Oryctolagus cuniculus: one gene and its partners. The protein of the gene in region 1 purifies or fractionates together with the protein of each later gene. This does not show direct contact. Links are inferred from orthologs where the notes say so. Each region holds a gene or a part of one and is shown on either strand. Other genes may lie near its edges. The genes, in order: RAB1A, GDI2 and GDI1.

What was found.
Region 2: the proteins of RAB1A (region 1) and GDI2 purify together in Homo sapiens (affinity purification with mass spectrometry; 6 studies listed by BioGRID and IntAct, counting the BioPlex papers as one, with this or other methods). This does not show direct contact. The link is inferred for Oryctolagus cuniculus from reciprocal best matches to the Homo sapiens genes RAB1A and GDI2.
Region 3: the proteins of RAB1A (region 1) and GDI1 purify together in Homo sapiens (affinity purification with mass spectrometry; 7 studies listed by BioGRID and IntAct, counting the BioPlex papers as one, with this or other methods). This does not show direct contact. The link is inferred for Oryctolagus cuniculus from reciprocal best matches to the Homo sapiens genes RAB1A and GDI1.

What each region holds. Positions count from the first base shown.
Region 1 is NC_091433.1:137,617,386-137,621,625, forward strand, and holds the start of RAB1A (ras-related protein Rab-1A), read left to right. Parts: upstream 1-1,391; 5' UTR 1,392-1,817; coding exon 1,818-1,840; intron 1,841-3,530; exon of another isoform or gene 3,531-3,654; intron 3,655-4,240. UniProt on the Homo sapiens protein: The small GTPases Rab are key regulators of intracellular membrane trafficking, from the formation of transport vesicles to their fusion with membranes.
Region 2 is NC_091444.1:79,669,154-79,672,069, reverse strand, and holds the end of GDI2 (rab GDP dissociation inhibitor beta), read left to right. Parts: intron 1-883; coding exon 884-1,028; intron 1,029-1,259; coding exon 1,260-1,314; intron 1,315-1,400; coding exon 1,401-1,547; 3' UTR 1,548-2,343; downstream 2,344-2,916. UniProt on the Homo sapiens protein: GDP-dissociation inhibitor preventing the GDP to GTP exchange of most Rab proteins. By keeping these small GTPases in their inactive GDP-bound form regulates intracellular membrane trafficking.
Region 3 is NC_091453.1:132,666,729-132,670,995, forward strand, and holds the start of GDI1 (rab GDP dissociation inhibitor alpha), read left to right. Parts: upstream 1-1,413; coding exon 1,414-1,458; intron 1,459-2,669; coding exon 2,670-2,777; intron 2,778-2,911; coding exon 2,912-3,011; intron 3,012-3,157; coding exon 3,158-3,292; intron 3,293-3,765; coding exon 3,766-3,964; intron 3,965-4,200; coding exon 4,201-4,267. UniProt on the Homo sapiens protein: Regulates the GDP/GTP exchange reaction of most Rab proteins by inhibiting the dissociation of GDP from them, and the subsequent binding of GTP to them. Promotes the dissociation of GDP-bound Rab proteins from the membrane and inhibits their activation.

The DNA of each region.
Region 1 (4,240 bases):
ATAGTTACAGAAAGTGGGGAAATAGTGTATCTCTGGAATAGATGAAAGGTTGAATTTTTAGCTCAGTATGAGTGCTTGTGCACATTTGTGTTTTTACTCAGTGAAATCACAGTAAGCAGGAAGGGTCTAGGATTTTAGAGTCCAGGGTAAGAAACATTCTTTAATCCATTCAGGGTCCTTTTCCTGGAGTGGTGACCATGTTCAATTCAGAAATCAACATCATATACAGGAACTCTAGCTGACTGTTTGATGAGGCTATCAACTAAGGTGCATGGTGGGATTTGGGGGTTAGGAGTGTAGTTGGTACATGGGTAGAAGTGAAGAATTACTTTCTTCCCATATTTTGGTGCCATAGGAGTTTTAAGTGATTTTGCAATCACTTAAAGTCTCAGGAGATAATTTTCTTGGTTCTTAGAACCAGTTGGAAGATAAACTTTGGACAATGTGTTATACTATGCCCTTTGTAATTAAATAACCCAAGCAAGATAATGTGTTAAAGTTTAGTGGAGATTTAAATTCCTGAGCTGATTAAAGAGAGCTGGTAAGCCCATAAGGTTGTTTTTTTTTTTTTTTTTTATGTGTTAGTATTACTCCTGGAGTCTGTGGGCACTATATAGTGATGAATTGTACGTTTTTATCGCTTATTACTTTCCAATCTTGCTCAGAATTAAGTGGCAACTTTTAAAGAGGCAGAACAATTCAGCCTGAAGGCTGGGCCGAGAGCAGGTAGACTCAACTCTTAGGCCATGCCTGGGCTGTGTCCCACCCCTGGCTGTGGAGCCCTTGAAGGTTGTGGGGTCACGGTGGAAGCGCTGTGTGCGAATGGGCTGGGGCATAGTCCACTTGCAGGCAACTGAAATGTCCAGGCTGAGGTGACATGACAAGAGTGGGGCTGGGCCAGGACTGTAAAAATCAAAAAGAAAACGGTAGTGACCGAACCCGGGTGGGGTCGGGTGAGTGAAGAGGGCTGCGCGCAGTCCAGGGCGCCGGAAGTCCTCGGCAGAGGCCCCCGACTTTCCCGCCGCCCTCTGAGCCTACGTCCTCGGACCAGCGGCGAAGGGCAGGCCTCAAGCCCGTCGGGCCTGCGAGAACCGCGCGGGGCTCAGGGGCCGCCAGGCGCGCGCCCCTTCCCCCACGCTCGGGCCGTCCCACCAGGCCAGACCCCTCCCGCCCCGCGGTCCCACCGTGACCCCCATCCTCCGCCCCGGCCGGTACCGCCCTCTGCCTCTTCCCACCCCCTCCCCCGTGGGGCGCTGACTCGCCCGGCTGCCACGTCTCACTGGTGACATCACCGGGGCCTCTCGGCCTTAGCCAATCCGCTAGGGGGAGTCCGAGCGAAGTCCTAGCCAGCGAGTCAACGGGGAGGGGAGCAGGGAGGGGCGGAGGGTGGGGGGTGAGGGAGTGGGGAATGGAGCGGGCGACAACCGCACAAGTACGCATGCACCAGAGTCGCGGGGCTTGGCGGGAAGCGGAGTCCCGGCCGCCTTGCCGCACCGTCGGTCTTCTGCGCGTGTAGCTGCGCTCGCGACTCTCCTTCCCGGCATGCCACGCGCCGAGGCCGCCCTCCGGGCCGTGTAAAGACCCCTTGGTCCGAGGCTTCCCTATTTCCTGGTTCGCCGGCGGCCATTTTGGGTGGAAGCGATAGCTGAGTGGCGGCGGCTGCTGATTGTGTTCTAAGGGGACGGAGCGGGGGAAGACGTTTGCTCTCCCGGAACAGCCCATCTCATTCCTTTCCTTCGATTACCCGTGGCGCGGAGAGTCAGGGCGGCGGCTGCGGCAGCAAGGGCGGCGGTGGCGGCGGCGGCAGCTGCAGTGACATGTCCAGCATGAATCCCGAATAGTGAGTGCAGGAGAACACCGGTCGGCTGGGTCGGTGGGCCAGCTTGGGAAGCTTAAGCGGGGCGAGGAGGGCTGGGGCAGGGGCGCGGGCATTGGCCCGAGGGAGGCAAGGGTGACGGGGCCTTAGAGGCTTGAGGCCGGGAGTCGGGCCCCATTGTCTGACGGCGGAGGGGCGGCCGGGGGGAGGGGTCGGCCGGAGAGGTGAGCGGCCCGGGCCTCGGCCGGGTCCGCCTCAGGGCCTGAGTGCCGGGCCGCTGCGGAGGGCCTTGGGGCGTTGGGCAGTCCGGTGGCGGAGCGGCCTGAAGGGTCAGCTTCCTCCGGGGGCAGTAACTTTGGAAGGGGCATTTGTTTTTAAGGGGAGGAGAAGGGTGGGAGAGCTCCCCCAGAGGGCACTGTCAGACCCCGCGCCCGCGCTCTGCGGAGCTGTCAGGATCGCCGGGTTGGAAACCAGCTTTACTTGTAAAGCCTGAGCTTGCTGGTTCCCTGTCGTGCCACCCTCCCCGCCAGGTTGCAGGTAATATGGATGCTTCTCGGGACTGCGTGGGATTGAGGGCAAGGAGCGGAGAGATGGTGAGCAGCGATTTAAAATGCTTAGTTCTCGTTTGGAGTTATCTCCTGGAGGAGTTCTTTAAGAACTTGCCTGGTCCATCGCCCTCCCAAAGCCCTGGACATTTGGGAGAATTTGTTGTTAGAGGACACCTAAGTCATTTTGTCTTCTATAGGTCAAGGGAGGGAGAAAAAAAAAAAACAGAACTAAAACCAAGGGTACTACCGAATTGGACAAGGACTACTGTCAAGTTGAAAGAGAAACGAGTGGGACCTATGGTAGATCGTGTAGGTTTTGGATTACCTACTTGAATGCTTGTAGATAGGGAATGAGCTTCCATGACGTGTCATGAAAAGTTAATGCATTTCTTTTCCTTGCTTACTCAAGAGGTCACCACAACAGATGTGACACACCTGGCACTTTTCCTGGGAACTAGTGTTCACTTGCCTTGGGGAAGAGTTTAGTTGAGTTCTTTATGGCCCTTAAGAAAAAACACTTCCTACAGTTTACATATATGTAAATTAATGAAAAGTTGATAATTTAATTGGTATTCTTCAGCGCCGGAAACCTTTTCAGGAGGATTTCTAAAAGCAAAAATTAGTATTTGTCCCAAAAGTTTTTTTATTTTTTGCTTTGGTCAGTTACTGGTAGACATATCCCCCTGAAAAGTCAACTCTTCAGTTTAGCTGACTGTCATGTGTGTGTCACATGACTGTTGCAAAACGCATTCTGACTTCAAATTTTGTAATATTGTGGTTTGATGCTGAAATATCTTTTCGTACTAAACAGTAGCTATACGATTTTACTAGAATTTCTTACTTGAAAAATTTGCTATGTTGGCAATTTTTTCTTTATCAAGGGCTCCGAGGACAAAGTTGGTGTTACGTGGTTAGCCCGAGTTGATGTAAGGTTCCTAATTAGTGTTTATCCTGGAAGCAGTAAAGAACATGAATTTTTGGATTTGCCACTATATGGAGATTTTTTAAACCTCTGCTGTTCAGGGAGGTTCCTATATTTGCTACATATGTTTAGTACTATAAATAGACCTTGAAAATTAATTAGTTGAATGAGATTTTGAGAAATTACTCAGCTTCAGAATTTGTTTCTCCTTTTGTAAAATAGGATAAATAGGAGTCATCCTTACCAATGTAGTGGTGAGATTCAGATACTTCCAGACGAATTTGGAAAATGGTAAGAACATTCTTTTGGAGGTAGAAATCATTTTCCTGTAAGGCATTCTGATAGTGCTAGGGTTTAACAGTGCTATGGTTTTATAAGTTCCCCAAGGAACTTATAAATGGAATATAGAATGTAGATTTTTTTTTTTAGAATGTAGATTTTATGCATATCAAATGTCAGTAGATATAGCAAGTTCCAAATATGCAGTATAGATTGGAGCAACAGGATTTCAGAGGAATGTAGTGACTTTGGCTTGCCCATTGGGTTTTGGAAGACTCTGGAAAAGAAACCTGTAAGGATGTTATTAGCAGTGAGATTTGGAAGAGCAGAAAGGATCGAGGAGGATTTTTCCAGGGGCAAAAAGGAAGGATGGCCAATAAATGGCAAGGACTATAGAATTTAAGTAAGTGTAGTGCCAGATCATCCTTTCTTTTAAGAACTTTAGATTAATGATCTCAACAGAGTCAAACTTAGAAAATCTTTTTATATTTTTTTCTGGCATCTTGTTTGCCAATATCTAGCCTACTGTATTTGCATTCTGGACTGTCTATTAAAATAGTCCAGTAGTTTGGGAAAACCTTTGCAAAAGTGTTAATGAAAATATCTTAGGGTGATAGTAAAAGATGGCTATTTTAGGGAAGATCGGGGGCAACCAATAATCAGATTTTTTTTTTA
Region 2 (2,916 bases), on another chromosome or scaffold:
CCTGTATTATAACTATTATTATTATTTTGCATTTAAGGTTTATATTAAAACAGGCAGTTCCCTGGATTTGTGAAGATCTTAAAAAAATATATAGGGAGTCTGGTACTAATTTTTTAAGATTTACTTATTTGAAAGGCAGGGTGACAGAGAAAAACGGGGAGAGAGACTGATTTTCTGCCTGCTGGTTCACTCCCCAAAGTGATCACAATGGCCAATGCTGGGCCAGCTGAAGCTTTAGGAGCCTGAACTCCATTCAGGTCTCCTATGTGTGTTATGGGGGCCTGAGTAATTAGGCCATTTTCTACTGCCTTCCCAAGCACATTATAGCAGGGAGCTAGCGTGGAAGTGGAGCAACCAGGAATAGAACTGGTACTCTAATGTGGGATGCCATTGTCACAAGTAGCAGAATGCCAACCTCCAATAATTATTTTCTATATTGCAAATTATGCAGTTGTTTAGAATAGTGATATACAGACCAGGTCTGGTATCAGGACCTGTGAGTCTGTTAAACTAGTTCATAAAGGTCTTATACTGATCTGCAGTATCAAATGAAGGAAACAGTACTTAATAAATCTTGTTAGCTATTTAATGCAAAGTCCTAAGTAAAAGAAAATCCCAGAATAGTTAATATGGCTTGTTAGCTATTATACAGCAGGGAGATTTCATTTTCATGTTTAGCGGTTCACTGCCACATAATTTTTAATCGTTAAATATTTGAATACTGTGGTTGTGTTTTGTCTCCATGTAGAATGTTTATAAGATCTTGCCTGCTTCAAGTAGTGTAAATTAACACCTTGATGAAATATAGTGAAAAGTTAGTATGCTAAGTTTTATAAACAGGTTTATAAACTTTAGGCATTGAGCTGCTATTATTTGTTTCTAGATATCTATGTCTGCATGATTTCCTCTGCACACAATGTGGCAGCACAAGGGAAGTACATTGCCATAGTCAGTACAACTGTGGAAACCAAGGAACCTGAGAAAGAAATCAGACCAGCTTTGGAACTGTTGGAACCAATTGAACAGAAGTGAGTGTTGTGTTCATTTATATGAACTAAAATCCTAATTGGGGTCTTGATTTTGGCTTTGGGGGGTGGTGGTTTGAACATGATAACAAGGAAGGCAACCATTGGGTTCTTGTGGGTATTTCTTAAACTGAACCATCTCTACCAGTCTTACCTTTTGTGTTTAGAAATTCAGCAAACAATTATTAGTTTGAGGCCAACTAACTTGGCAACCTAATTCTTTTTCCCCTCCAGATTTGTTAGCATCAGTGACCTCCTTGTGCCAAAAGATTTGGGAAAAGAAAGCCAGGTGAGTGTGGAGATCTGAAAAGGATATTAGGCTTCATTGCAAGATATCCCTTAACAAATCATAATTTTTATGATTTTTATTTCCAGATCTTTATTTCCCGCACATATGATGCTACGACTCACTTTGAGACAACTTGTGATGACATTAAAGACATCTATAAGAGGATGACAGGATCAGAGTTTGACTTTGAGGAAATGAAGCGCAAGAAAAATGACATCTATGGGGAAGACTAACAACAGTACATGTTACTAAATTGGGACAAATTTAAAATTTGGCAAATAATGCATATTGTATGAAATCAGTATTGTAAAGCCTGCTTTTGTAATTAAAATGGAGGGATTGAAGAGCACTATACCAGTAAATATTCCTCCCCCTTCATCTTTCTAATATCATGTATTAACTTCTGTTCTTGGAGTGGCTATTCAGAATTGGCAGGTTACCACGTTCTGTTCCAATTTAACCAAACCACCCCACATCCTGTGAAAGATCAGTTTTAAACAAACATTGTGATACTGATACAGAGAACTTGATACAGTATTTTTATCTTTTAATCAGCATAGTCTTGGCAGTTGTGCCTCTGCTGCTCAAGAACTGTATCTGTATGTCTGTGCCATCTGTCCTTATGACACTGAGATCCTACACTGAATATTCCATAATTTGAAACAGCACCCCCAAGTTCTCCCTCTAATTTTGTTTTGTGTTTTATCACATATTATGGCAGGTCCCAAATAGTATAGCCACAGATTTGGTTTATGTGGGCATAAATTATAACCAAACTCCAGAGATAGGGAGTCATTTGGAGGAAGCCACTTTGTGGTGTTTTAACTAATGAAATTGGTGAGACCAAGGGGAAAGGAATCGGTCATAAAGCAGGTAAAATGTAGAAGTATCTTTTATATCACAGGTGTGGCTTCTTCAATGGACCAAGCTGCAATGCAGTATTGATTTGACAGAGCCTCTACTTTAGTCTGTCTGAAATGGCTCCAAATGATTTCTGTACTGCAAAATAAAGCCAAATTCTGGATACCACTGCTCTCTGTATTGGTCTGTGTCCTGATTGTAACTATTAGTGTTTCCTTCAGTAAAGCTGAAAGATGATAGAATCATAAGGTGTGCACAGTATCAAAGAGCATATGTGGCTCCTGATCTGGACAGATCAGAGCAGCCCTTGTCATCATCTGGCTTCAGTATGAGTAGACCCCACATTTTATTCCTGATACTATATAGTATACGATGCTTGACTCCTATTGATGTTAAGTAGTGGTAAGCCTCACTGTACAGGCTATTTATTACTAAGACTTTGAGGAGGGAAAAGGATACCAGAAACACTAGCAGGTCTGTGAGGGTCTAAGTGGTAGGATTGCTCTGGAAGGTTAGTTATTCCTGTTTAATGGCCCGAGATTGCTAAGACAAGGTGTTTTTTTTTTTTTTTTTTTTTTTTTTTGCCATAAAATCATTGCAGAAACTTTGGTTGGATGCTTTTGGGTTGTCTTTATTAAAAAAAAAAAAAAGAAACAAATTAGTTACAAAAACTTTTGTTCCAAATAGATACTAAGTATCTCAAATGTTTGGTTTTTAGTTTGAAAGATTACTGTAGAAATT
Region 3 (4,267 bases), on another chromosome or scaffold:
CTGCACATGATCCTCAGCCTCAAGACCATGGATCGCTTTGATGACCACAAGGGCCCTGCCATCTCTCTGACCCAGATCGTGTGACCCCGTGCCAGGGGGGAGGGGTTGTGGTTGTGATGGTGTCCAGGTTGTCATTTTCCCACCTTATGGTACATGGCACCCAAGGACCCCCTCTTGCTACCATAGCATGAACCCCCAGCTCCCCTCAGCCTGTCTCACTCCCTCATCAGCCTGCGGAGGGGCTTCCCCGAGGCTTCTCCCAGCCCTCCTGACAAGGTGTAGATATTCTGCATAGATTTTAGGCCTGTCTCCCGGGTCAGCCATGGGAAAGCACAGGGGCATTAGTTCTAGGGTCCCCTTTCTCCTCCCCTTATTTATTCTTCTCTATCTACCATAAGCTCTGGCTGTACATAGCGCTTTTGTGTAGCAAGTTCTCCCTCCCCCAGCTTTATGGGGCTCCCTACAGCAGCCAAGAGCTTCAGGTTGCCCGAGGTTGGCAGAATGTGGAAGTGACCACTTCTGTGTCCCGCTTGGCTGTCGTTGTTGTATCCTGGTGATGTTGTGTTAACAATCAACACTGTGCTGGGGTTTATTTCTGTGACTTCAGGAGGAAGGAACCTCCATGACAGGTGGGCTGGGCGTGACCACTGTGTTTCAGGAGCGCCTGGCAGGAGCCTGGCATGCTCCATTGTCTCCTTCCTAATAAAATAAAGATGGGTCGCCACACGTTGGGCCTCTTGTCATTCGTTTCTGGACTAGAAATGAGGAAAGCGTTGGACTGAGGGATGGGAGGAGGGCAGGAGGGCGGGCGGGTGCGGGGAGGGGGGGAGGTGGCCCTAGATGTATCCCAGCCAGGCCAAAATCCAGGAGCCAGGGCCCGCCAGGGACTCTTTTAGCAAACTGGGCCCCTAACCGGTTAAGGTAGGGAAGGAGTGGTCGGGACAGCGGTCGCCGCGACAATGGCAGCTTCAGCGTCGTGAGGGGGCCGCCCCCGGCTGCTGCAGCAGCGCGTGCCCGGCCCGCGGGGCCGCGCGGAGCCTCCCGGGGGGCGGGGCGGGGCGGGGCGCGCGCGGCTCCCGCGCACGGATCCCTCTCGGACCGCAGTACCGGTCATCGGACCGCCCCGCCTAGCTTCCTCTGGGTCCTTGGCAAACGGCGACGCCGGCAGAGCCGCACTGGTGCTAGGGCCCGAGTACCGGCAACCCTCTTAGGAGGCAAGCCAGGGAAGCGGTGATCACTGCTAGGCGTGGTGGGGCCTGGGGAAGTGTTGGGACTTTTTGACGCGGCGGAGGGGTCAGGCGGCGTTCGAAGTGCCGCCATCTTTGGTCCAGTGCGGCGGCGGCGGCGGCGGCGGCTGCTGCTGTGGTGAAACGGGAGGAGGAGCCGAGCGGGCGCTGGTACCAAGGCCTGACCATGGACGAGGAATACGATGTGATCGTGCTGGGGACCGGCCTCACCGTAAGTGTGGCCTCGGGCGCCTGCGCCTCCGCTTCGTGCCTTCCCGAATCCCTGCGATGATGCAGCCGCTGGCCGCCAAACCCATCCTCCCATCATTCCTATCCTCTGCCCTTGGGTCCCCGAAACGCCAGCCCCGTACCCACCCCACTGCCTTCTCTTTCCCCACTCCCCAGCCCCCTTGGCCTCGCGACGTCTTCTCTGCTCGCTGCCATGACCTCGAAGCGGGGTCTCCTGGCTGCTCCCTTGACTCCCTGGTGCCGACTCCCGGCCTCTCCCATCTTCCCTACCCTGCCCTGCTGGGCCGGAAAACGTATCCCCCACTCGGCCTGATGCCCCCCAGTCCCTCCCATCCAGTCCCCACCCATCGCCCCCACCCATCACCTTCCTAGTATTGTGCCCCCCCAACTTATACTAATCTTAGTAGGGGTGAAGTACGAGGACCTGGGGTTAGGGGGCCTTGCCAGGTTGGGGCCTCGTCCTGTGTTCCTGGCTGCTTCTGGGATCAGAAGAGCCAGGGAATGTTCCAGAATAACTAACAGCGAGGGCAGTGACCACATTCCCGCTCCCCCACCCTGGTTTCCCATGGAGACCTGAGGCTGAGCAATATCTGCAGCCTTTGTCCTTGGGCTGGTGACAGTGACTAGGGAGAATGTTCATCGTCCCCCTTCCCCCACAGCGTGTTCACCCGCTCCCCTGAGAGACACATTTCCCTCAGGCCAGGCCCAGATGCCCCTCCTGAGCCCAGGTGGGGAAGGCTTAGGGTCAGGGGCTCCTGGCCTTTGACGACGGAGCAGCCGAGGGTGGGGCCTGAGAGTCCAAGTGCCTTTCTTCACTTCCCTTTTGGGCGCCCTCTGCGGCCTGGCCAGGTCCGCTGTGTGCCTCATTGTGTCTTATCTGCCGGATTGTGCGGCTCTGCACTGATAGAGGACTTTCTTGGCAGTCGGTGCCATGAGACTGTCCTTGTGTCTGCTGGACACTCTGTCTCCCCCGACTCCTTCATTATTTCTCTCTGGTTCACCTCTGCTTAGCAGGGTAAAAAAGGAGACGGGCGGATGTAGCCATCGCCACCAGTGTTAGGCAAGGCGGCGGCGGCGGAGGCTGGGGGCGTGGAAGGAGCTGTCCATTGTGGCAGGCTTGGGGAGGAGAACAGATCAGGGCTGCTGGTGCGAAGTGGGCAGGTGGGAGCGCACCGGCTGTCCTCACACCCCTAGGAGTGCATCCTGTCTGGTATCATGTCTGTGAACGGGAAGAAGGTGCTGCACATGGACCGGAACCCCTACTATGGGGGCGAGAGCTCCTCCATCACTCCCCTGGAAGAGGTAAGGCTGCCAGCCTGGCCCAGGCCGGGCCCTTGGAAACCTCTCACTGGAGCCATAGTGTAGCAGCAGCGGGTGGCAGGGAGAGGGAGGGCCAGTCCTTGAGGTGTCTCTCTCTCTCCCCCTCCTGCTTACAGTTATATAAGCGTTTTCAGCTGCTGGAGGGGCCCCCTGAGTCGATGGGCCGGGGCCGAGACTGGAACGTTGACCTGATCCCCAAATTCCTCATGGCCAATGGTGAGGGAGATGGAGGAGCTGCTGCGGTTTTCCTAGGGGCGCGGTGGTGACTGGGAAGGACCGGAGGGGGTTGGGCTCCAGACAAGGGCCCGCCAGGCTGGCCAGAGCTCCTGCAGGGAGCTGTGCTGATGTTGTCCCCACCACAGGGCAGCTGGTAAAGATGCTCCTGTATACGGAGGTGACTCGCTACCTGGACTTCAAGGTGGTGGAGGGCAGCTTTGTCTACAAAGGCGGCAAGATCTACAAAGTGCCATCCACTGAGACCGAGGCCTTGGCTTCCAGTGAGTGTGGGTCTCCCGACCTCAGGGCGGGTGGCAAGGTAGACACCGGGAGCCGGCCACTGTACGCCCGAGGCTGCATCCCCTGTGAGGTAGCAGATGGCCCTTGCTCTGTTCCTGCTGCTGCCATGTGCCTCACCTCACAGCGGCTTGCTAGCAGGGCGATCCGCGTGCAGAGAGGAGTGGAGGGTGCTCCTTTTCGGAAGCCTGTGACAGGGGCTCCGCTTGAGCCCTGGAACATCTCTAAGTGTCGGAGCCAAGAGGGCCTTCAGAGTGTGCCCGGCCCAACCCCCTCTTCACATGGGTGGGGAAACCGAGGCCGAGACAGGTAGATTACGCTAAGGTCATGTGACAGACCTCACTGGGAGCCGGGATGCCAGCTTTCTCGGCCAGCCCACGGGGGTGGGGTTGGGGGGGGGCGGGAAGGAGAATTTTGTATTCTAGTGCAAAGGGTCCCCCCTTGCCGCCTTCTTCAGATCTGATGGGCATGTTTGAGAAACGGCGCTTCCGCAAGTTCCTGGTGTTTGTGGCAAACTTTGATGAGAATGACCCCAAGACCTTTGAGGGCGTCGATCCCCAGACTACCAGCATGCGTGACGTATACCGGAAGTTTGACCTGGGCCAGGATGTCATTGATTTCACTGGCCACGCGCTGGCACTCTACCGCACTGATGAGTGAGGGGAAGCTGGTGTGGCGCGGTCCCCTTGCCTGGCCTTTACCCTGCCTCCCCAACACCTGCCCACTGCTCCCTCTGCCTACCCTGCACATTTCTCGTACTCAGCCATAGGCTCCCCTGTTGCCTGTCCGCCCCTCCCCTGCACTTGACCCCCCGGCTCCCCTGGGCCATTCGGGGTGGTGGGGTGAGCCAGGGAGCCTGTTGGAGCATCTTCCCTGACCTCTGTCCCCCCAGCTACCTGGACCAGCCCTGTCTGGAGACCATTAACCGTATCAAGTTGTACAGTGAGTCCCTGGCCCGG